Linked DNA regions of Rattus norvegicus. The protein of the gene in region 2 interacts with the protein of the main gene of each other region in a pairwise test. Links are inferred from orthologs where the notes say so. Each region holds a gene or a part of one and is shown on either strand. Other genes may lie near its edges.

Evidence for each region.
Region 1: the proteins of Ptk6 (region 2) and Khdrbs2 interact in binary tests that used the Homo sapiens proteins (3 or more experiments, as listed by UniProt). The two-hybrid records come from large-scale screens. The link is inferred for Rattus norvegicus from reciprocal best matches to the Homo sapiens genes PTK6 and KHDRBS2.
Region 3: the proteins of Ptk6 (region 2) and Ccdc33 interact in a two-hybrid assay, tested with the Homo sapiens proteins (2 studies listed by BioGRID and IntAct). The two-hybrid records come from large-scale screens. The link is inferred for Rattus norvegicus from reciprocal best matches to the Homo sapiens genes PTK6 and CCDC33.
Region 4: the proteins of Ptk6 (region 2) and Fcho1 interact in binary tests that used the Homo sapiens proteins (3 or more experiments, as listed by UniProt). The two-hybrid records come from large-scale screens. The link is inferred for Rattus norvegicus from reciprocal best matches to the Homo sapiens genes PTK6 and FCHO1.
Region 5: the proteins of Ptk6 (region 2) and Exoc5 interact in binary tests that used the Homo sapiens proteins (3 or more experiments, as listed by UniProt). The two-hybrid records come from large-scale screens. The link is inferred for Rattus norvegicus from reciprocal best matches to the Homo sapiens genes PTK6 and EXOC5.

The regions. Positions count from the first base shown.
Region 1 is NC_086027.1:41,941,766-41,945,878, reverse strand, and holds the start of Khdrbs2 (KH domain-containing, RNA-binding, signal transduction-associated protein 2), read right to left. Parts: upstream 2,810-4,113; 5' UTR 2,659-2,809; coding exon 2,568-2,658; intron 1-2,567. UniProt on the Homo sapiens protein: RNA-binding protein that plays a role in the regulation of alternative splicing and influences mRNA splice site selection and exon inclusion. Binds both poly(A) and poly(U) homopolymers. Phosphorylation by PTK6 inhibits its RNA-binding ability.
Region 2 is NC_086021.1:188,690,420-188,694,681, forward strand, and holds the start of Ptk6 (protein-tyrosine kinase 6), read right to left. Parts: upstream 2,806-4,262; 5' UTR 2,515-2,805; coding exon 2,285-2,514; intron 1-2,284. UniProt on the Homo sapiens protein: Non-receptor tyrosine-protein kinase implicated in the regulation of a variety of signaling pathways that control the differentiation and maintenance of normal epithelia, as well as tumor growth.
Region 3 is NC_086026.1:67,410,678-67,414,985, reverse strand, and holds the start of Ccdc33 (coiled-coil domain-containing protein 33), read left to right. Parts: upstream 1-1,500; 5' UTR 1,501-1,857; coding exon 1,858-1,878; intron 1,879-4,308.
Region 4 is NC_086034.1:18,461,896-18,466,145, reverse strand, and holds the start of Fcho1 (F-BAR domain only protein 1), read left to right. Parts: upstream 1-1,447; 5' UTR 1,448-1,482; intron 1,483-2,161; exon of another isoform or gene 2,162-2,319; intron 2,320-2,533; exon of another isoform or gene 2,534-4,250. UniProt on the Homo sapiens protein: Functions in an early step of clathrin-mediated endocytosis. Has both a membrane binding/bending activity and the ability to recruit proteins essential to the formation of functional clathrin-coated pits.
Region 5 is NC_086033.1:24,821,436-24,824,945, forward strand, and holds part of Exoc5 (exocyst complex component 5), read right to left. Parts: intron 1,844-3,510; coding exon 1,749-1,843; intron 737-1,748; coding exon 589-736; intron 1-588. UniProt on the Homo sapiens protein: Component of the exocyst complex involved in the docking of exocytic vesicles with fusion sites on the plasma membrane.

The DNA.
Region 1 (4,113 bases), on a different chromosome or scaffold from region 2:
CTCCGTTAGCAGATTCAGAAACGTCTTCCGTAACAAACGGCTAACTACATAAAACTGTAACTACAGTATGGAAGTTATTTTAATCAAATGCATTATGCAAAACCTTTAACCCATATTATTCAAGATCTGCCATGACTAACAGTCAAAATCACAAATTATTTGTTTTTAATTTTTTTAAATATGACCCCTACTGAAAACACAAACCAGAAACAAATGGACTGAAATACAATAAAAACAACCAAAAGAGGTCATTTGCAGCCCACAGCCTTGCACACTAAATGAAGCAGGCACAAGTGAGGAGAGGTTTGTGTCTGTCACTAAGGAGAAGGCAAAGTAAGGCACTGTGAGAGCTCAGTGCTTCTAGAAACTCATCCCAAAGAATGGAATCATCTGGATCATTTTTATTGCCCACCTCAGTCTCAAGACTGTCTGCACAGCACTGCTGACGTGCACTCCAGTGTGCACCTTCCTTCCCTTGGAGTATGTGTGTCAAGTTTATTTATAGACAATGCCTTCGAATGCAACGTTTCCAGGTATGAGAAATAAAATCTCTACGGTGATCCTAGAAACCTTCACAAATAGCCTTTGAGAAGACAATGGAAAAAAATCTATAATGCAACACGTGCATTATGATTCGCTGAGACTCCAAAGCACACTCACCTTTCACTCTAGTGAGCATGTGTAAAGAGGCGGGTAGAGTTACAGAACTGATGTGGGCCCTGGACGTCTTTTTATGGAACTATCTGACTACTCTAGGATTACCGCCGCCACCTCTTTCCTCCTCTTGTTCTCTTTTCTCATTAGGAATTCTCTGAAATTTAGGCACCCTCTTTGTTTCTTAGTGAGATGCTTTTCTAGCCAGGAGCTTTTTTAAAATAACCCATTACAAAAGCAGGCCATGCTTCCCCCTGCTGGGAAAAAATTAAATTACAAGGTGCATTAGAACAATTTTCCTAAGTCTCAAGCAACCTTGTGTTTGGGAAAGAAAGAAACAGCAGGAAAGCAGATACTTAGTGGTCTCTTAACTGTTTCACTGGTCAAGAATATGCACCACACCTCACTCTAGTAAGGCTTTTATCTACATCTTTTAGTTCTGTAAGTTTTAAAAGTACAATTAATACACATTAATAACCGATGGGCCAATTATTGAACCCTCTGTCCCAAAGAGAGCTCCGGTTATCAGGTCAGAGAAGATTATGAATCTGTTTTCATTGCTCATTGAATGGAAACACTTCTGAAGAACGGAGTGAAGCAAACAATCAAAGAATACAGTTTTAATCTGTCCATGTTTATTGAGTCAATATCTTCCGATATGCAGCCGTTGTTCTCCAACGGCAGAGAAGAGCGTCGTTCATGACTTTAGTTTTTCAGTTTCATTTATTATCATTTGATTATTAGGTTGTGGTATGCAGGGTTGCATTTCACTGCCTAACTACAAAGCCAGCTTCTCCCCGTGAAAACAGTGTGAGTATTTAGAATCTTCCACATTTTTCCTGGCAGTCTTTCACGAGATACTTTGTTATTACGGGTTATAATAAATAGCAACCGCTAAAAATGCCAAAGTAAATCTAATGTCTCTGAATCATCTGAGGAGTAAATTTTTTCCTAAGATGCACAACTAAATCTCAAATGTATTTTAATGCTGAGGAGCTGGAAGAGAGAAAGATGTCACTGATTCTTCTAGTGGGTAAGACCTCAAGATCCTAAGCTGCAGGGTAGCCAGTCTGAGGAGGAAGCACTTCATCACTAACGAAACGTTCATCCAAAAATTCAGCAGTCGTGTTAAATTGGAGAGTGCAGGGTACCAGGTACCAGAGATGACTTCACTTGCTACCATTGCTTCACATAGATGGAATAATTGGGGTTAATATTTCTGATGGAGAAGTTTTCATGTGCACCTTTTCTCAAACGACCTCTCAAAGCAATGCAAAAGGCAAGACATAGATGTTCCTCTGGGAAACGAATCTCCGCTACAACACAGGTACACAAAAGAAAACGCACACCTGGTTTAAAAACCAGTTGGTCAATTATGGAGCGTTCCGAGGAACCAATATCTTGCATACTACCCAGCCATCACGTTTCGAATACGTTTATAAGCACTTTAGCCTCTGCTTACCATGCTCACATAAATATACGAACATGCATACTTTACTGTTGATTAATTCTAAGACTTTCCAGGGGGAAATAGCAATTAAAGGGTATTAAAATCACTTCGAAACATAGAAGGAAAAAAATACAATAAATAAATAACGCTGATCTGTGACCAAGATGCTCTCAGAACACTCCACGGATCTCATTTACTCCTGTACTGCTTTTGCTGTCTTCTGCAAAGTGAAAAGGTACCGATGAGCCACCTGACACTTGCTGGTTTCCCTGTCCAGGACCCTAACAGGTCGCACCACCCTGCCATTAGACCTCAGGGCTAATTGAGCCTCGGAAGAGCCTGGCCAGCAGCGCTGCGCTCCAGCATTCGGAAGCAGCTCTCAGAGACAGTTTCTACCCAGCGGAGCGCTCGCCCTCCCCAACTTCGCCCTGTCGGGGCTGGCGGTCGCCGGGGCCGGTCCTACCTTCCGCCAGAAGGCGCGACGCGTGCACAAAAGATGGATCAAGGCTATCCTTCTCTGCCATCAGCTCAGGCAAGTATTTCTCTTCTCCCATAGCGCGGACTTCGGACCGTGGCCGGCCAGGCGCAAATCCCGCCTGCTCGGACGCCTCGGTCCCTGGTTCCCCCAGGAACCGTCCTTCCTGCGGTGAGCGCAGCTCTAGCGCCTCGGGCTGCGCAGACCGCGCTGGTACCTGCCTCTCCCGCGCCCCAGCCTGGCTCCGGCCGCGGCCTCAGCTGGAGAGGATGCCCGCGCGGCCCGCCCCCGCCAGCCTCCTATTGGAAGCGGGGTCCGGGGGCGGGGCGCCCGCGGAGGCGGTGGACTATCATTGGCCGGGGCCTCACGTCGAGTCGCCTGAGTGGCAGGAGGCTGCTGCGGAGGGGAGGGGTGTACGAAGTGCAGGAGCACTCTCCAGGCCGCCTTTGCGGTCCCGGTTCTCAGGCCTGGCCAGTGCTGTGGAGTAGGGGCTGACTGTTAGGCAGGCAGGATGGTGAGAGAGGGAGAAATTGCGCTCCAGGAACACAGAAGTGAGCACTTCACCAGGGTCCCCACAGCACAGGTGTCTCTCCCCTGGCGGATCGCAGGCTCATGGGCAGGGTTGGAAATCCGAGGCAAAATGTGGGCTGTGTTTCCCATGACCTACATCATGAGGCAGAAGGATGTCCACTGATGTACAAATGAAGAAGTGCCTGGATTCTATACTAGAGCAAAACGCTTCCAGTGTACATCACCGTAATACAGAATTAGTTCTAGGGATCCACCCATCCCTGTGGTGGAAAATTTGCTCACTGTGTAAACTTAGCGGGGAGGATTGTGAATGAAAGAAGCTAGATGGTGTCTAACTTCTGTCACTCTGATGTTCTCATATTTTAAACCTGATTGAGTCTCTTTCCCTGCCTTGGGAATGTTGCTAAAATATTTTATATCTCCCCTACCTTTATTCAAATGAGCATTTTGCCCCCAAGGATCACCAAGAAAGGAGGAAAAAATGTTTCCTCCCCTTACAGATGGGACCCCTGAATTGTACCTTAAATACTTCAAATGAAAGGAGTCTTTTCTCACTTTGAGGTTGTCTTTCCCCTAACATTCCCTTGTCAATTCTTCTACCTGTTCAACTGGGTAACTTTCCGGGTATATAAAACCTACTGGACGTTTCCTAACTTCTCTTATTCTATCCACAGTGTTCCTGTAATGGTTTATTTTAGATGAACTTGGGATATTATGTTGACTTTGTGTGACATTTTGAAAAGTTATCATGTTTCATATCCAGTAGATAACTCACTCCAGCTCCCAAAAACACTGAGCAACAAGGGCCCAGAGATAACCAGATTTTGCTTCTGTAGTTGATGTAACATACCTCATAGCTGTGCCTAAGCTGAGGAGAAAATTCAAATCTAACCAGGAGGAAGCTTCAGGAGGCAGGGTTTACCCTACCCTCCCATATGCTAGATACTTATATACTGTGCATCAATCCAATTAGTGGTTATACATACTGAAAGGGGTCTAGAGA
Region 2 (4,262 bases):
GCCGATCTCTACCCCAGCTCCACACCCATCCTGTCTCTGTTACTTACCCTTGCCCTGCCTACCTGGAGTCCTAGATAACCTCTGGTTCCCGTCTCACACTCCCAACTCCAGCTAAGCTGCCTCTTGTGCTGCTCCCAACCCTACAGAGGCCTCTCTGCCCATCATGGATCCTGAGAGTCCTAAATGTCTGCTTCTGGACACCAGGAAAGGTCCCGGAGGCTCAGAAGTGGGACAGGCAAACACTGCCTTCCACCCTGCTCTGCATGATGACCACCTGGGGATCAGAGTCCCCTCCCCTTTAAAAGCAATTCTATGTTGTGAATGTCCCTTAACACATTGTAGGCCCTAAGCTATAGATACCAGCCTTGGCCCAGAAGCAGGAGACAAGTCTCAACAGCAGCTCCCTGGTCCTGCCTCCTGCCTCATATTTTCACATACATGTGCATATAACCACATAGCCATTTGCACATGTGCACTTGTGTGCACAGACATGCACTGAAATACAAGTGCATGTTTGATAGATATTTTCCACACACAACTGTGCACTCACATTGCACTGACCATGTCCTCATGTTGCACACTTGTGTGTGTACCCATCCGTGCACTCACATTCTCATACTAACCCGAGCTTGCATACACTCTGATAAGCACGCCCTTATGTACATGCACAGACACGGTAGCCCCCATGCTCATACTCTCCCATTCAAAGCCATTTTATCATACTGGCTTCCAACCAAAGGGATGGAGATATGCCTGAACTGAACTACAGGTGAAAGTCCTTGGAATTCCATGGGTGATCTCTGCCCTCGGAGTCTCCAACTCCCTCAAGAGCTGTCAGATCATAGGCTCCACGTAAGAGTTTAACATCTAGGGCTGGAGAGATGGCTCAGTGGTTAAGAGCACTGACTGCTCTTTCAGATGTCCTGAGTTCAATTCCCAGCAACCACATGGTGGCTCACAACCATCTGTAATGGGATCTGATGCCCTTTTCGGGTGTGTCTGAAGACAGCTACAGTGTACTTATATATAATAAATAAGTAAATCTTTTTTTTAAAAAAAGAGTTTAACATCTAGCTCAAGCCCTTGAAGCCCACCTGCTCGGGTCCTGCAGAGTACAGAATCTGCCCCACTCTCCCCTCTGACCACTTTGCCTCCTCTGCTTTGCCCCTCCCCTCCTCTGACATGTTTGCCTGTGCTAGATTCTCAGGACCTCAGGGCCTTTGCCCTTGCTATATTGGCCACATGGTCTTTGTCTCTGTCTCTGTCTCTGTCTCTGTCTCTGTCTCTCTCTCTCTGTCTCTATCTGTCTGATCTCTCTCTCTCTCTCTCTCTCTCTCTCTCACACACACACACACACACACACACACACTCACACACACACCAGGCTGCCCTGGAATTTAGTGATAAACACCTGCCTTTACCTCCCGAGTGTTCAAGGCACCTGGCTCTCCTCATTCTTTTATGCGCACCACCCATGCCTACCTCACTTCTGTCTTGAGTCTCTGTCTCTGGAACTGTCCTAGGTACTATTTAGTATTCGTTTCTTGTTTGTGTGTTCACAATCTTCATTGAGCACCATAGGTACTCACTGTGAGATGAGGCATTGGGGGGGTCTCAAGAGCAAAACAGTAAGAAACCGCTGCTGCTGGACCCTTCATAGCCTTAGCCCAGAGCAACCTACGTAGCTTGGGTCCTTGGGTGCCTGTGAACATGCCCATACTAGTCACTATTGTAGTTCCTCAAAGCCTCCAAGGGCTCAGATATGTGGGAGGCCAAGAACAGTGGACTAGGGTGCCTCAGAGAACATGTAAACACTTACCACTGTGGTGTTTGCAACATATGCCCCCTGCCAGGTGATATAAATAGGTGTGCCCCAGCAGCCTTCTTTCTCCCTAGTTAACTAAGTTGCACATCTGGTTTTGGCTGTTTGGAAAATGAGCAAACTTCACACCCCCAACAGCTCTTGAATTCCCACACAGATCTTGTCCCTCACAGACAACATCTTAAAATTCCACATCAGGCCCCTCTGGACCCATCTGGGTCCTAGCAGAGCAGTACTTATGGCTGGGAAGTGATCATAGGTGAGTCCAAAATAGAGACCCTGTCCCCAAGTGTTGCTCAGAAGCATAGCCCCATCAGCAACACTGTGTACCAGAATGTTAAGGATCAGAGTATGACCAGCTGAATGTCAAGTAGGATCTTACACCCTCTGGCCTCCCCAGTCCATTCCAGTGCCCACGGACACCCACCCCTCCCTCTGTGCCAACTCCCCAGGGCCACTCACGGTTCAGACTCCACAGTTTCCTTCTCAGCCAGGTAGTTGTGGGGCACGTAGCCCTCAGCCAAGGCCTTGCCTTCCGCATCCAGCAGGGTGGCCCACCACCACTGTTCCTCCTTCCTGGTAACATGGAGGAGGTCTCCTGCCTGAAAGCTCAGCTCCTCGTCCGTTCGTGCTTTGAAGTCCCAGAGGCCCACATACTTAGGACCCAGGTGAGCCTTGTCCAAAGACACCATGGCAGGCTTAGTGGCAGAGCCAACTGTGGCCTACTTGTAGACACTTACTGCTGGGAGAGGTAGGAGGAACTTTTCCCAGAAAGCCAGTCACACCTACTTCCTTATGATGGGCAGGAGAGCAGCCACACCCGGCACTGATTGGAGATGGACTAACCTAGCTCCACCCTGAAGGCCCTTCTAGCCCCTGTTTGTTCTTTTATCTACAGGATAAGACCATGCTATGTGTTCACACTCGGTGAAAGCCTGTCAGCTAAACAACCCCTTGACAAGACCTAGCCACAGTTACACAGAATACCCTATTAGATGGGGAGCACACAGGTATCAACTGAAGCCTTGTCCCCTTGAGGTGTGAGTCTTGGAGCTAAAGGAAGGGGAGGGGAGCAGTGGAGGGAGATTTCAAAGATGGTGGGCAGGTTGCTAGAACAGAGTAGAGAGTAAAGCAATGGCTCTTCTACATGCAAACAAAAACAAACTCCCTTACACTGGCTGGTCCCTCCTGCCAAAGGAGAAAGCGTCCCCCTGAAAGACTTGACATTCATGACCGCCGCCTCCCTGAGCAGGTGTCCACCCTCTAGATGCTAACAGGACTAGATCTAGGCATGGTATCAAGGAAATCGGGCAGGGCATGAGTTGGAGACAAAGAAGAAACTGGTGGGGCTTGAGGGGGTGAGGGTTGCATGAGACCTGTGAACTTAAAGAACATACCCCAGCCTGAGCTTCTGCCACAACTCAGGTTCCTTGAGCTGAGGACATTCAGATACAGTCTATCCTGGAGAAGCCAGCCATGACAGCATGCTAGACCACAGCATGACAGCTGGAGAGCCAAAGGGAACCAAGGGGTATGAGGGCATGACCATCTGTGTGTGTCGTGAGCTGGGTTAGAATGCTTTCTGATATCTTGGAGATGTGTCTGTGGTCCATAGACCTCAGATCAAGAAGCAAGTATTGTCCTATCCTCCAGATAAGGACACAAAAGGGGCAGACACAAAGGGTGAGTAATGGCTAGGAAGGGCCCACACCACCAGGGCCTCTACAGCTCCACCACCCTCTTTCCCAGGTTTCCCTCCTGCTCTGCGGCCCCCAGGGTCTCTCTCTCTCTCTCTTTTTTTTTTTTTTTTTGAGCTGGGGACCGAACCCAGGGCCTTGCAGTTGCTAGGCAAGCGCTCTACCACTGAGCTAAATCCCCAACCCCCCCCCCCCGGGCCTCTTTTAATTCACCTCCCATGCTACCCAATCCCTAGTAGCCCTACTTGTGACTGTTCCAGTCTGTCCCTCCTCCTCCTGTTGAACCTTGAGAGCTCCAAGGATTCCCTGTCTCCAGAGTGGCCCTGGCAACCCTTCTCACTCTGGCTGATCCTGTTGTGTTCATGATTGGGTGATCCTGCACACCCAGGACGGGAAAGGAAATTGAAAAGTCTATAAGGGTGAGTGACCTGGGAAATAATGATTTTTTTTTCTTTTTCTTTCTTTTTTCTTTTTTAAGGTGGGGGAGTGCTGTGGTGGTGGTGGGAGTGGGGGTGGTGGTGGGGGATGCTACTTCATGCTGAGGATCAAATTCTGGCCCACATGTTGAATGAATGTTCTACTTCCGAGAACTGTGCCAGGCCTCGCGTTTTCTTTCATGGAAGAGACAAAGCACTACCCACTTCCTATTGGGATTAAGAACAGCAACATGCATTACTCAGTAGCTTCACACCTACCCAGCCTAGCTCAGCTCCCCATAAGGTGTGGGGAAGGGTCGATCAATC
Region 3 (4,308 bases), on a different chromosome or scaffold from region 2:
CAAAATAAAAACCTAAAGAGGAATAGTGACGTTGCTAAGCCCCCAACCCTCACTCTTTGAGGATTAAACACAGTGTAAGAGCCACCCCAAAACCACACAAACTAAGGCATCTGTCGCCATGCACAAACGAGGCTGCTTTCCTTCTGAACCTCCTGGGAAGAGGGTCCCGAGCAAGCGAGACCCTACAGAGAAGGGGTGTTGCTGTGGCCATGGGAACCAGCCTGGGAACAGAAATGAATAGGCTAGGGTATCTGGAGGAGGGTGTAACGACCAAGCACCGGGTTAGAAGTATATGGCTAGCATCTGCAGACATCTGTTATTTCTCCAGTCCATGTCTGCTAGGCAAAACCAAGCTCCAGAGTGAGCATTTTGTCTCAGCTCCTAGAGTGGCCCTGATTCCTAATCATATGATGGAGGGAACTAAAGCCCAGAGAGGTTAATACTTTATCTACAGCCACACAGCTATGGGTGAGTTGCTCCAAAACCCACACCACCTGTGTTTCCTACCTTATCCAACCCTGCCACTCAGCAGGAGGGGAAAGAAATGGAGATGATGGGGAAGCCAGGTTCTAAGGGGAAAAGGGAAGCCTAGCTGGGGTCTCTAAGATGGAGAGGCACTGTCCTGGGACTTGTACAGATGGATTGCCCCTGGAACTGGGAGGAAAAGAGCCTGACTTTGAATCACATGTCTACTTGAGCCCTCATGTTTCCCACTTCATCCAGCTGACCTCTGCCAGCAATGTACACAATGTGGTCACAGCCATGCATGCAGACAATACACAGAAAAATGTTAGCGATTCTTAGTGTGTCACCAACAATGTATGTTTCAGTCCTTTACCCATTCTCTCCCCCATAGTTCTACCGCCCTCCAAGAAGAAACCATTCCTTGAGTTTTTTAATGTTTATTTGGTGTGTTGTATGCCTGTGAGCATGTTCATGGTGGGCGAGGGGGAAGTTGCGTGCATATGGTGGTCGTAGACGTCTACTCTTGTGCACGTGGAAGCCAGAGGTTGATGATGTCAGGTCTCTTTCTCAGTCTCAGGCCAGAGGTGGGTTCTCTCACTTCTCCTGGACCTCACCCACTGGCTAGGCTGGCGGGTGAGTTCAGGATGCACCAACCACCGTTTCCCAGTGATGACTACAGCCCTGCTTTTTACATGGGTGCTAGGGATCTGAACTCAGGTCCCCATGCTTACAAGGCAGGCACTTTAATGGCTGAGCCCAAGGAGGCTAGGTGACTACCTATAGAACTTCCCTGCATCATCTCTGAGGATAGTGATCGGTCTTCTGTGCTGTGGTAAGAACGAGGGACTGGGCACACAGTGTGGTGATCCAGTCACATTCACTAAGGACAGGATAGCAGGGACTGGTCACCAGTCAGTGCAGGGGAAAGAGAAGAGGGCTTCTGACTCCACCCTGCTGCACTGCATCCGTGTGACCGATTCTGGCCTGTGATGTCATACAGTGTTGCCTAGGTGATCCAGCTAAATGGAGAACTCTGTACTTTCCCAAGACTGGGCAGAGCAAGGTTCACCCCACGTGACCCTCCTGTGGCTGCCAGGAGTCAGTTCCCTAACCCCCTGCTCAGCTGATCATGGCCTAAATACTCCAAGGCACCTCCACCCACGGGATCTCTCACTTCTGAGAAGGATTCATATTGTATCCGCCCACTCAACTTCCCCTACCCAGTCCAGCCCCCAAAAGCAGTGTGTGGCACCCCTGAGACCACACTGATGGGTAAAGACTCAAGGTATCTGGGCATGCTGGCTGTCGAGGCCCATGACTGATCCCCTGCCCGTATCCAGTGCTAATACTAACCCCAAGATTGCTAAGTGAACACTTCTTGCCCCCAAGAGGATGGGACGACAGAAGACAAAGGTGAGGCTAGGGCAGAGTCTGTAACAGCTGCGTAATCTCATCCTTGTCCTCTGACGGTGACAAGCTCGACAAGAGTGTTCCTTCTCTGGGTCTCAATCACCGCTGTGAGCCGAGAGTGGTGGTGATTAGGTGTTCTGTTCTGAGGCTCTCAGGGATGACATGCAATACCCCAAGATGGTGGTTGACTTGGCCTGCCCTGGCCTGAGAGCCCACTGATGTTGCCCATCAGCCACCATGCAATCCTTGGCTGCATGGTTGTTCCCCTGTTTTGATCACTGCTGTATCCCCTACACTTAGAACAGTGCATAGGACAGAGTACATGTTCAATAAGGAATTGTGGAAGAATGGCAAGAACCTGCCAGGAGGGTCCCAGAGCCAGGAATGCCAGCAGTTCAGTGGAAGGGCTCACATACCTCCCCCTTTCATTTGGTGGCAAAACCAAACCTGTGTCTGTGCCATTTCCCTATAAGGACAGACCGCTCCCCTGTAATATCACACATTCATATTTCTTTGATTGTGTGTGTGTGTGTGTGTGTACGGAGGCCAGAGAGGGACATCAAGTGTCTGTCACTCCCCCTCATTTTTTGAGTAAGGGCCTCTCCCTGAACCTGGAGCTCACTGACTCACTGACTGACTAGGCTGGCTGCCGGTGAGCTCAATAGCTAGGATGCCCTTGTCCATCTTCCACCCCAACTCCCAGCACTGGGAACCAGAGTGAGGCCGCCATGTGCCCGGCTTTGGTGTGGATGCTGTGAATCTGAACTCCGCCCCCTCCTCACTCCGCACAAGCCCAGTGCTGGTGCCCTGATGTCGGCTCTGAACTTCCAGGGTGTCTTAGGTTATGGGGCTGGAGGCAGGGAAAAGGAAATAAATACTTGTAGCAAAGGTGGGGTGTCAGCAGCATTTAGAGACCTCACTTCAGCTCTGCTTCCTGTCTCTGGCTGGCCCAGTGTCCCTTCCAGTGCCTCAGCTGTTCTCCTTGCTGAAGTAACTTTTCCTTTCCTTTAAGGTGTATTTAATTTTATGTGCCTTGGTGTTTTGCCTGCATGCATGTCTGTGTGATGGTGTCAGGGTCCCTGGAATAGATAGCATTCAGTGTTTTGCTCTTCTTTATTTTATTAGATTATTTTGATTACTACCATATAATATAAAATTCTGCTGTATAATAAATACAGTGTTTGGCATATAGTAGGTGCTCAATAAAGTTGTGCAGGCAAGAACTTTACCTACTGAGCCATACTGCCATACTTAGCCCCCCCATTTAGTTTCTTTGGCCACTCCTCAGCCTGTAACATTTTTATTCATGTAACATTTCTAAATTCCAGTGCTCCTAGTGCGTTAGAAATATTAATTCTGGGGGCTGGGGATTTAGCTCAGTGGTAGAGCGCTTGCCTAGGAAGCGCAAGGCCCTGGGTTCGGTCCCCAGCTCCGAAAAAAAGAACCAAAAAAAAAAAAAAAAGAAATATTAATTCTGTTTTATTTATCATCTTTTTTCTTTCGGTTTTTTTTCCTTTGCTTTCTGATACAGGGTCTCACTATGTGGCCCTAGCTGGTCTGGAACTCAGTATGTAGACCAGGCAAGCCTCAGAGTTGTGGTGCCTCCAGAGTGACAGGATTCCAGGCATGAGCCACCAGGCCTGGTTAGGTGGACGTTGTAAAGTGTCCCCTCCCTCCCTCCCTTCCCCCTCATATTGAAGATTGAATTTAAGGGCTATGCATACCAGGCAGACTTTCTACCTGAAAGCTAGCTCCCCAACCTGGTTTTTTGAAAACTGTAATCAAACCTACCAGTTATTTTCCCTGAGGTTTCTGACATTTTACATGTTTCTGTGGAGCTGAGGAATCAGCCTGGGGCCTCGTGCGTAATAAGTATGTGCTCTCCCACTGAGCTGCAGCTCAGCCCTGTGTCATCATGTGAAAAGCACTCCTGCATCAGGCTCTGGAACTTCTGCCATTATCAGTAAATCCTGAGGCTACGGGCCCTCGGGGTAAGCATAGTAACCCAGGAAATGAACCGGGTAAAGACGCATGAAAAGAGTGGAGAGGTCTCATATCCTGAGCCCTTTCCCTCAGTATGAAGGGGCCTTGCAGGCTATCCTAGTGCCCAGGCAAGGCTGGCCATCAAAGCTAGGGTAGTGAAGTACTGTTTTTGTTGGTGGTGGTGATGGTGGAGGTGGAGTGTGTACATGTGTGAGTGTTGAGGGGAGGTCACAGAGTAACTTTTGGGAACTGGTGTTCTCCTATCTTGTTCTGAAACAAGATCTCTCATTTCTGTCCATCCCTCATGCCAGGGTAGTGACCCGTAAGTTTGGGGGGGGGGGATCTTTAGCTTCCATCTTGCCTCAAGAGTGCTAAGGTTAGAGATGCATGTTCCCTCCCCTGGCTTTCTATGTAGTTTATAGGATCCATCACAAGTTAGCAGGCCTGTGC
Region 4 (4,250 bases), on a different chromosome or scaffold from region 2:
CTGATGCTGAGGCCACAGAGGGGTGCTTCTTACTGGCTTGTTCCCTATGGCTCGTTGGGACTGCTTTCTTATAGGCTGAAGCATCAAGTCTTGAGTTCTAGGCCAGCACCTGCCGTAAGAACCAGCCAATGGCAGATGAGAGTGATTACAGGTCAAAGCCCTTTCCATTCGACTCTGATGGCTTCACTTCAGCTCCTGGAACTTTCACCCACTCCATCCGTGTACATGGCAAAGGTGTGTGAGCACACACTTATGGGGGGAGGGGAGGGAGATGCTGTTGTTACCATTCTCAAAACCCAGATGCCAAAGGTGACTAGAGGTCTGAGTGTTACGAGGGCTCTTGGGGCAGAAAAAGGACATGTGGAAAATGGAAACGGCGTGGGTTCATAAATGGAGAGCAGGCTCTCTTACCTCGAGGCAACTGGGTGTGGGAGCCCATCCAAGTGTTTAATCTTTATTGTTCGAATTGATGAGAAAGATGATTACTTGATTGATTGGTAGTGTGCACATCCCACAGGTGAGAGAATACTTTTCAGGACTTCCTCATCAAATCCAGGCTTTGCCACACACATCTTTGCCTGCTGAGCCCTCTCGTCGGCCCCGAAGCTGGTGTTCAGATGTGCGTGATTGCCATTGGAACCTAGCGTCATTTGGGGCAGAGCTGCAGTTCAAGTAAGAAGTGGGGGCAGTCTCAGGCTGGGTTAGACCTGGATTTGATCCCCAGCCACAGGGAAATGTCCAAACTGGGGTGTCATGATCCAAAGCTGCAGGGGCCTGTACCTAAGATGAAGGCACATGGCTTTCCGGTTGTCCCGAGCCCAGTGGTCCCACATTCTTGGATGTGCTTCTTGGGCAGGGGACCAGGTGGCTCAGGTATCCTGAGGATCATGCTGCCGCCTTGTGTCCCTGAACGGGAGACTGAAACAGAGCCCAGGTCAGGGAGTCGTTAAGTCTCTCAAAGTTGTCATATGGGAGAGGAGTATGTGGCTCTTGCTTAGCACTGGGGCAGCCTGGCTTCATCACCAGCACACACAGGCTGAATAAATAAATGGCCTGTCATATGAATGTATGGACCAGAGTGGCTTTCTGACCTCCAAAGCAACTCCTAGCCCTGTTCCTTGGTGCCTTTGTTTGTAAAATGAGGCTCAATATTAAATGTCATCTCACTCACAGCCTGGGAGGAGTTCTCCAAAGAGCCATATATGCAGTAGGTACTCAGTAAAAGCTATTCCCTCCTTCCCACCCTCCCTCCTGCAAGAATGACAGGTGCAGAAAGCAAGGAGCGTCTCCTGTCGCTTTAAAATATGCAAATAGCCTGCGGGTGAGTGTCCAGGCTCAGCCAACCAGTGCAGGGTTTATGAAGCACCGCGGGGCGGAACTCCTCCTGGCCACACCCGTGGGCGGGGCCAGCGGCGCGCTCCGCAGCTCAAGGGGAGGGCGGGGCGCGCGTCTGGAGCGCGCAGGTGGCGGCCGCGAGAGGCGGTGAGTGTCCCTGGCGCGGAGTGCGGGTGCGGGGCGATGGTGCGGGGTGCGGGGCGGGGGTGCGGGGCGGGGGTGCGGGGCGGGGGCATAGCTCTATCCTGACCCGGCCCGAGCGTAGGTGCCGCCTTCAGAAGGCGGGGCGCTGCTCCATTGCATCCCTCAATCCCGGGCTGGGAGGGTGAGACCCCCCCAGGACTCCCAAATCTCTCTTCCTGGTCTCCAGCCTGCAGATCCCTAGTTCTAAGCTGGGGTCCGCCTCCCTCGCTGCCCCCCATCCACACCAGGGAACCGGGGTCCCCTTCCTCCAATTGCACCCACCCTGGGGTTGGTAGGCAGGTGGGGGCTCTGCCGGGCGAGTGTGGTAGGGCTACAGGGTATCTGGAGTATGGAGCGCGGGATCCCCTCCCTGGTGAGCGGGGCCTGGAGAGGCCTGGAGCCCGCACCAGGGACTCCCGCACCCTGTTGGGGGGCGGCTGGCATCTGCTTCAAGGAACAGAATTAGACTAGGTGAATGAGGGTCAGGGTGCAGAGAAGGTCGGGGTGCCGCCCCTCCACTTGCCCTCAGCATCGCGGGACCTTTCATGGTGACCTTGGGCAGGTGACAGCACCTCCTTGACCCTTAGTCTCCTCTTCCGAATGTAGAGGTTGAGGAAGCCAAACTGTCTCAGATTCCCAATACCTGTGCCCCATTTTTCCAGGTGGGGACCACAATCTTCGGTCAAATGTTAGGGTAGACTCCGTTTTCCTAGTTGAGCCTGGTGTGGTCATTCCAGTCCTCCGGTGGCTGAGGCTGGAAGGTCTGCAGCTTGAGGCCAGCCTGGGCTACATAGACAGACTCTGCCTCATAAAAAAAAAAAAAAGCATAAACCAAAACAAACCATGATTTTGATTGATGGGTACAGTCTAGTCTGGGGCAGAGCAGAGGGATCTAAGGCCAGGAGAGGACAATTTTCATCTGACCATAAGACGGACCTGCCTCCAATCAAGACCCACACTTTGTCACCCTAGTCCCACCCGTGTGACTGCCCAGGTCACACCCTGACCCACATACCATCACCTACAACAGGGTTCCTGGGCTGGTTTCTGGGCGGGGTCCCAGGCTTAGTCCTTGCCTCTGGCAGGATAGTAGGGTAAGTTCCAGGCAGGAAGCCTGACACCCCCAAATTTGTGTGCTCAGACTGGACTGACTGAGCCTTCTGTGAAATGGGCCGAAACCCTGTGGGAAGATCAGAGGTGGTTGTGGAAGTGAGGACACGCTGTAAACACCCACTCCTGTGGTAGTAATTATGATATTGCATCCATTAAATGGGGTCACAGCCAAGGAGGCAGTGGGATGTCTTTAAAGGGTGTGACCAGAGTCACCAGCCCACGGACTGGGTACACAGTGGTGCTCAAAGTATGTTTGACAAATGAAATGACTCAGCCGAAGGCTTGCACAGAGGCCTCAGTTTCCCCATGGAATCCTGCTGGGGTTCGGGGGGCAGTGAAAATCACACAACAAGGGGTCAATGGTTGTGGGCACAGCCAGCCTGTATCCAACCCCCAGAGTGCAGCTCTGGTCTGGTCTTGCCTGATTCAGTTCCCTGGTGCTGTTCACACAGTCAAGCCTTAGGTTTTGGGGACTCATTGTCAAGGGATGGGGTGCTTGCTGTGTGCCTCTGGGTAAGTGTCTGTCCCTAGACCTTATTCTAGTATTGCAGAAGCCAGAAAGCCCTGGGTTACATTAGGTAAACTGTCTTAGGCCAAAATATTTCAGAGGCCTATAGTGGTGTTTTAATGTCCTTCCATATCACACAGGTTAAAACAAACCAAACCAAACCCCAAGAACGTGGTACTGAGAGATGCCTTGGAGTACTTAATATTTATGTACCAAACAAAGCCAAGCATGGTGGTGCACACCTGTCACCCCAGCGCCCAGAGGAGGAGGCAGGAGAATCAAACATTTGAGGTCATCCTCTGCTACATAGAGAATTTCTAGGCCAGCCTGGGCTACATGAGGCCATGTCTAAAAACATACTTTAATCTGTTGATCCTAAAGAAGTTGTAAAGAATATTTGAGTTTCCCCTTCTGAGGCTTCACCTGTCTCCAAGCCTCAGTTTCCCCTCATGGGCATACAGACCCAGCTCGGGCCAAGGTAGAGGATCTGTGGGTGTCTAAGTGTCTCTCTGGTAAGAGTCACGTCGCCCCCGGCCTGCTCCCTCACCTCCCCCATCTGTGTGTTGTGCTGTGACTGTGGGGAGGTCCCAGGGGTGCTGGGCGGGGAGGTGACGGTTGGGTGGCAGGCAGGGCGGGCCGGGCTTCCTGTCCTCCCCCAGACAGAGGCCTCCAGTTAATGCTGGCGGAAGTGTTAGGGGTTACCTCCGGGTGCCTACCCCAGCCCTCAAGGCCACAACTCCTCAGTGCCCATCGGTGAGTTTGCCCCAATCTTTGTCTCCCGGAATGGAAAGGGATCCCAGAGCTGTGGTTCCCGGTCTGGGGCCAACGGTCTCAGTCCCTGTCACTTCCTGGCCAGGTGGCAGCATCTGGGCCTATCCTTGGTGCCACCTCTGGCCACTCTCTAGTCGACCCTGACCTGGGTACAGGTTGTGGCCTGTCAGGGCCTGCTGGGTGGAGTTCCGGGCAGCCAGGCGGGCAATTGTGGCTCCAATAACTGTGTCTGGCTGGGTGGGGTAGGGGACAACTTGAAGTGTGCCCCCTCAGAGGGCTTCTATGTAGGGGATGGTGGCAGGGTGCTGTCTAACAGGAGCTTTGGGGACATTGATGGCTT
Region 5 (3,510 bases), on a different chromosome or scaffold from region 2:
CCTCTTGGGGGGATCATGTATCAGATATCCTAAATATCAAATATTTACACTATGAGTCTTAACAATAGCAACATTACAGCAATGAAGTAGCAACGAAACAATTTAATGGTTGGAGGTGAGCACACCATGAGAAACAGTCTTAAAAGGTCCCAGCATTAGGAAGGTTAAGAACTACTGCTCTCGGGAATAACTTGTTCCAGGTTGGTCTTATTTATGATTAAATTATATTAAAATGACTCCTTAAATATCCATACTAGTAAGGTAGTTCTCAAAATGCAGGGCTAGGGACTAGTCAGTCTTGTGAAAGCTTACTCAATTAAGAGGTGGGAAGCAAGGGTCACTTCTAAGCATCTACCGCCCTAACCTGAACAGGGCAGCACTGGGTTAGAACCCATCTAGTAGCACACCAACGACAATGCTAGGCAGTCACAAACAAACATTAATATCTTATTCCACAGGAACAAAGTTAGACGTTAATACAATTTGACTTGGCTCTTCAAAGACCTAAGGTAAAAGGGTTGAAGAAACTGTGTGTAAGAGAATGAAGATGTTACAGTTCATAGCCGCTCATTTCTGAGCTAAGTGTACCTGGTTGCTTTTCTGCAGCTCTTGTACCTTCTTAGCAAACTCCTTTGCCTCCTTCTGACACTGCTGTTCTAACTTCTCTACTTTCCTTTGAATCCTTTCATCCATTATCTGTAGTTCTTGAATATGATTCACAAATTCTTCTAATAACCTAACAGAGGAAAGTAATAGTACAATCAATTTGCCTATTATTAGCCATAAGGAACAGACCAGTTTTATGAAGGTTTTAGTAAGGGTCCTCTGAGACAGGGACAAGTGTATTCACTTTCTTTACAGCATCTTGTTGCAATTTATTTAATGTCATAGCTTTCTTTCCACTTAGAACAGGTCACGTGACTTTAACAATACATAGCATTAGGAAAAACAGCCAGTTGTTATTGACTTTGCAACGGATTATCTCTAAGGTAAATAAAAACCTGAACAAATCCCCATTAAATATCCAAACAAGCTCTACTTTATTTAAAATTCAAGAAGACAAACGTACAACAAAAATTGTATACATTATAGACTTTATTGACTGTTTCCCTGATTTACAGCTATTAAATTTAAAAGAACATAGTCAACTTTTTCTTATTATTAATTTGCTTATTCAGGATCAGGGTTTTGCTATGTATTCTAGGCTAACCTCCAACTCACAACCCAGCCTCAGCCTCTAGAGTACTTAGATCGCAGGTGGTCAATACCATACCCACAAGTATAACCAGCCTTTTCTAATTTAATGCTAAGTGGAAAAATTAAATTCTTAATAAAGGATAAAATCCTTTTACCCAATCAGCTAAGGAAAAACACTATTTCAGACTTCTAATGCTGTTAAGAAACTTTATTTAAAAGATTTATTTATTTATTTATTATATATGAGTACACTGTCGCTGTCTTCAGACACACCAGAAGAGGGCATCAGATCCCATTACAGATGGTTGTGAGCCACCACGTGGTTGCTGGGAATTGAACTCAGGACCTCTGGAAGAGCAGCCAGTGCTCTTAACCACTGAGCCATTTCTCCAGCTCAAGAAATTTTTGAGGTGGGAAACAAACTATTAATTAAAATTATTTTATATGAATACTCAAAAGAATTCCAATACAGTCATCTCTACTCTAAACACAATTCGTAGTACTATATGGAGACTGTTTTGTTTTGTTTTGTTTTGTTTTGTTAAGTTTACCTTTTAGGATCAAAAGCTTCAGGTCCACCCCTAGAACCACCTCCCGGGGTTCTCCACACGAGACGTTCAATGTATTCATCGGCCACAAAAGGCTCCTGGTTTATAGAATAAACATATTTTAAAAGGGCTTTTGTTGTCGTTGTTTAAAAATCTTCAATAAATAAAGCCAATTGTTTAAAGAAAAGTAGGATGCTAAAATATTAGAACAGCATTACTGACTAGTAGGATGAGCCAAATAGAAAATGAGGAAAGGACATAAAAAGGTAATTTGTTAAAAAACAAAACCAACCAACCAACCAACAAACATCTCAAGCCAAAACCAAAGCACATGTACAGTTTTATTAACAAAGACAAGTTCTCTTTCTTCGGGATGGGGAGAAGAGGTGAGGATGAGGGGGATAGCATATCGCTATGCAGCCTTGACTGGTCTGAAACTTGTTATGACAACCAGGTTGACCTTAAACTCACAGAGATCCTCCTGCCTTTGCCTTGCCAGTGCTGGTGGAATTAAAGATATGACATGCAGCAAGTTATTATTTTTTAATCTAAGAAGCAGAGAAATATATTTTAATTACAGAGCTCAATGTAGCAAAAAGAAAGTAAACTGAAATTTGCACTTTCATTACGGTGGAAAATGTTAATAGATTAACCATTTAAGAAGACAGCTGGCAGCTGTTTTGGTAAAATCAACAGTGTTACACACACTCAGAGCTTTAACCTCATAATTTTATTCTCTGATCACTTGAAGATTGAGGCAACATAACAAATTCAAGGCCAGTCTTGGTTGCATAGCAAGCCCTGTCTCAAAATTTTAAACAGAAATTAAAAATAAAATAAATTTGCAAGGAAATGCATATATAAACAATTCTGGAGTAACTATGCATTATGTGTAATACTCAAAATTATTTATTTAAATATTTAATGAAATTGTACTTAACATAGTAGGTAAACTTAGATGAGAAGCTATGTTCTATTAAAAAAAATCACATAAAGCAACATTCAATGAAAAGAGAAAACCTGTATACACTGTAACAAGCATATTACATTTTCTCAGAAGAAGCATCATTATATTACAACTGTATAGGTTACTGAAGTAGACGGTCCAATCAAAACTAGTGACTATGCATGTTAGGCAATGTGCTCGCCTGCAATCCCAGCACCTTCAAACTTCTGAAGGACAAAGACTTGTGAAGGCAGTGAAAGATGAGGCCACGGAGTCCCCTAAGATTATTAGCAGGTTTCTTATCACACTAGAAGCCAATGCCAATCAGTTCAAAGTACTAAATAAAAATAAATAAATAAATAAATAAGGGGTTGGGGATTTAGCTCAGTGGTAGAGCGCTTGCCTAGCAAGTGCAAGGCCCTGGGTTCGGTCCCCAGCTCCGAAAAAAAAGAAAAAGAAAAAAAATAAATAAAAATTAAAAAAAAAGGCAAAGAATCCTATAGCCAGCAACATCAGCATTCAAAAGCAAGGGAGAAATTGAAATGTTTCTAGATCTAAGAAGGGCTGGAGAGATGGCTCAGTGGTTAGGAACACTGGTTGTTCTTCCAGAGGTCCTGAGTTCAATTCTGGACAACCACATGGTGGCTCACAGCCATCTGTAATGGGATCTGGTGCCTTCTGTATGTCTGAAGACGGCTACAGTGTACAATGTTCCTAAGTTTAAAACATAGGCAGGCAGGTGGACAGACAGACAGAGACAGACACACAGATAAGAATATGTTACCACTAGACCTGCCCAGAATGTAAGGTGAAATAAAT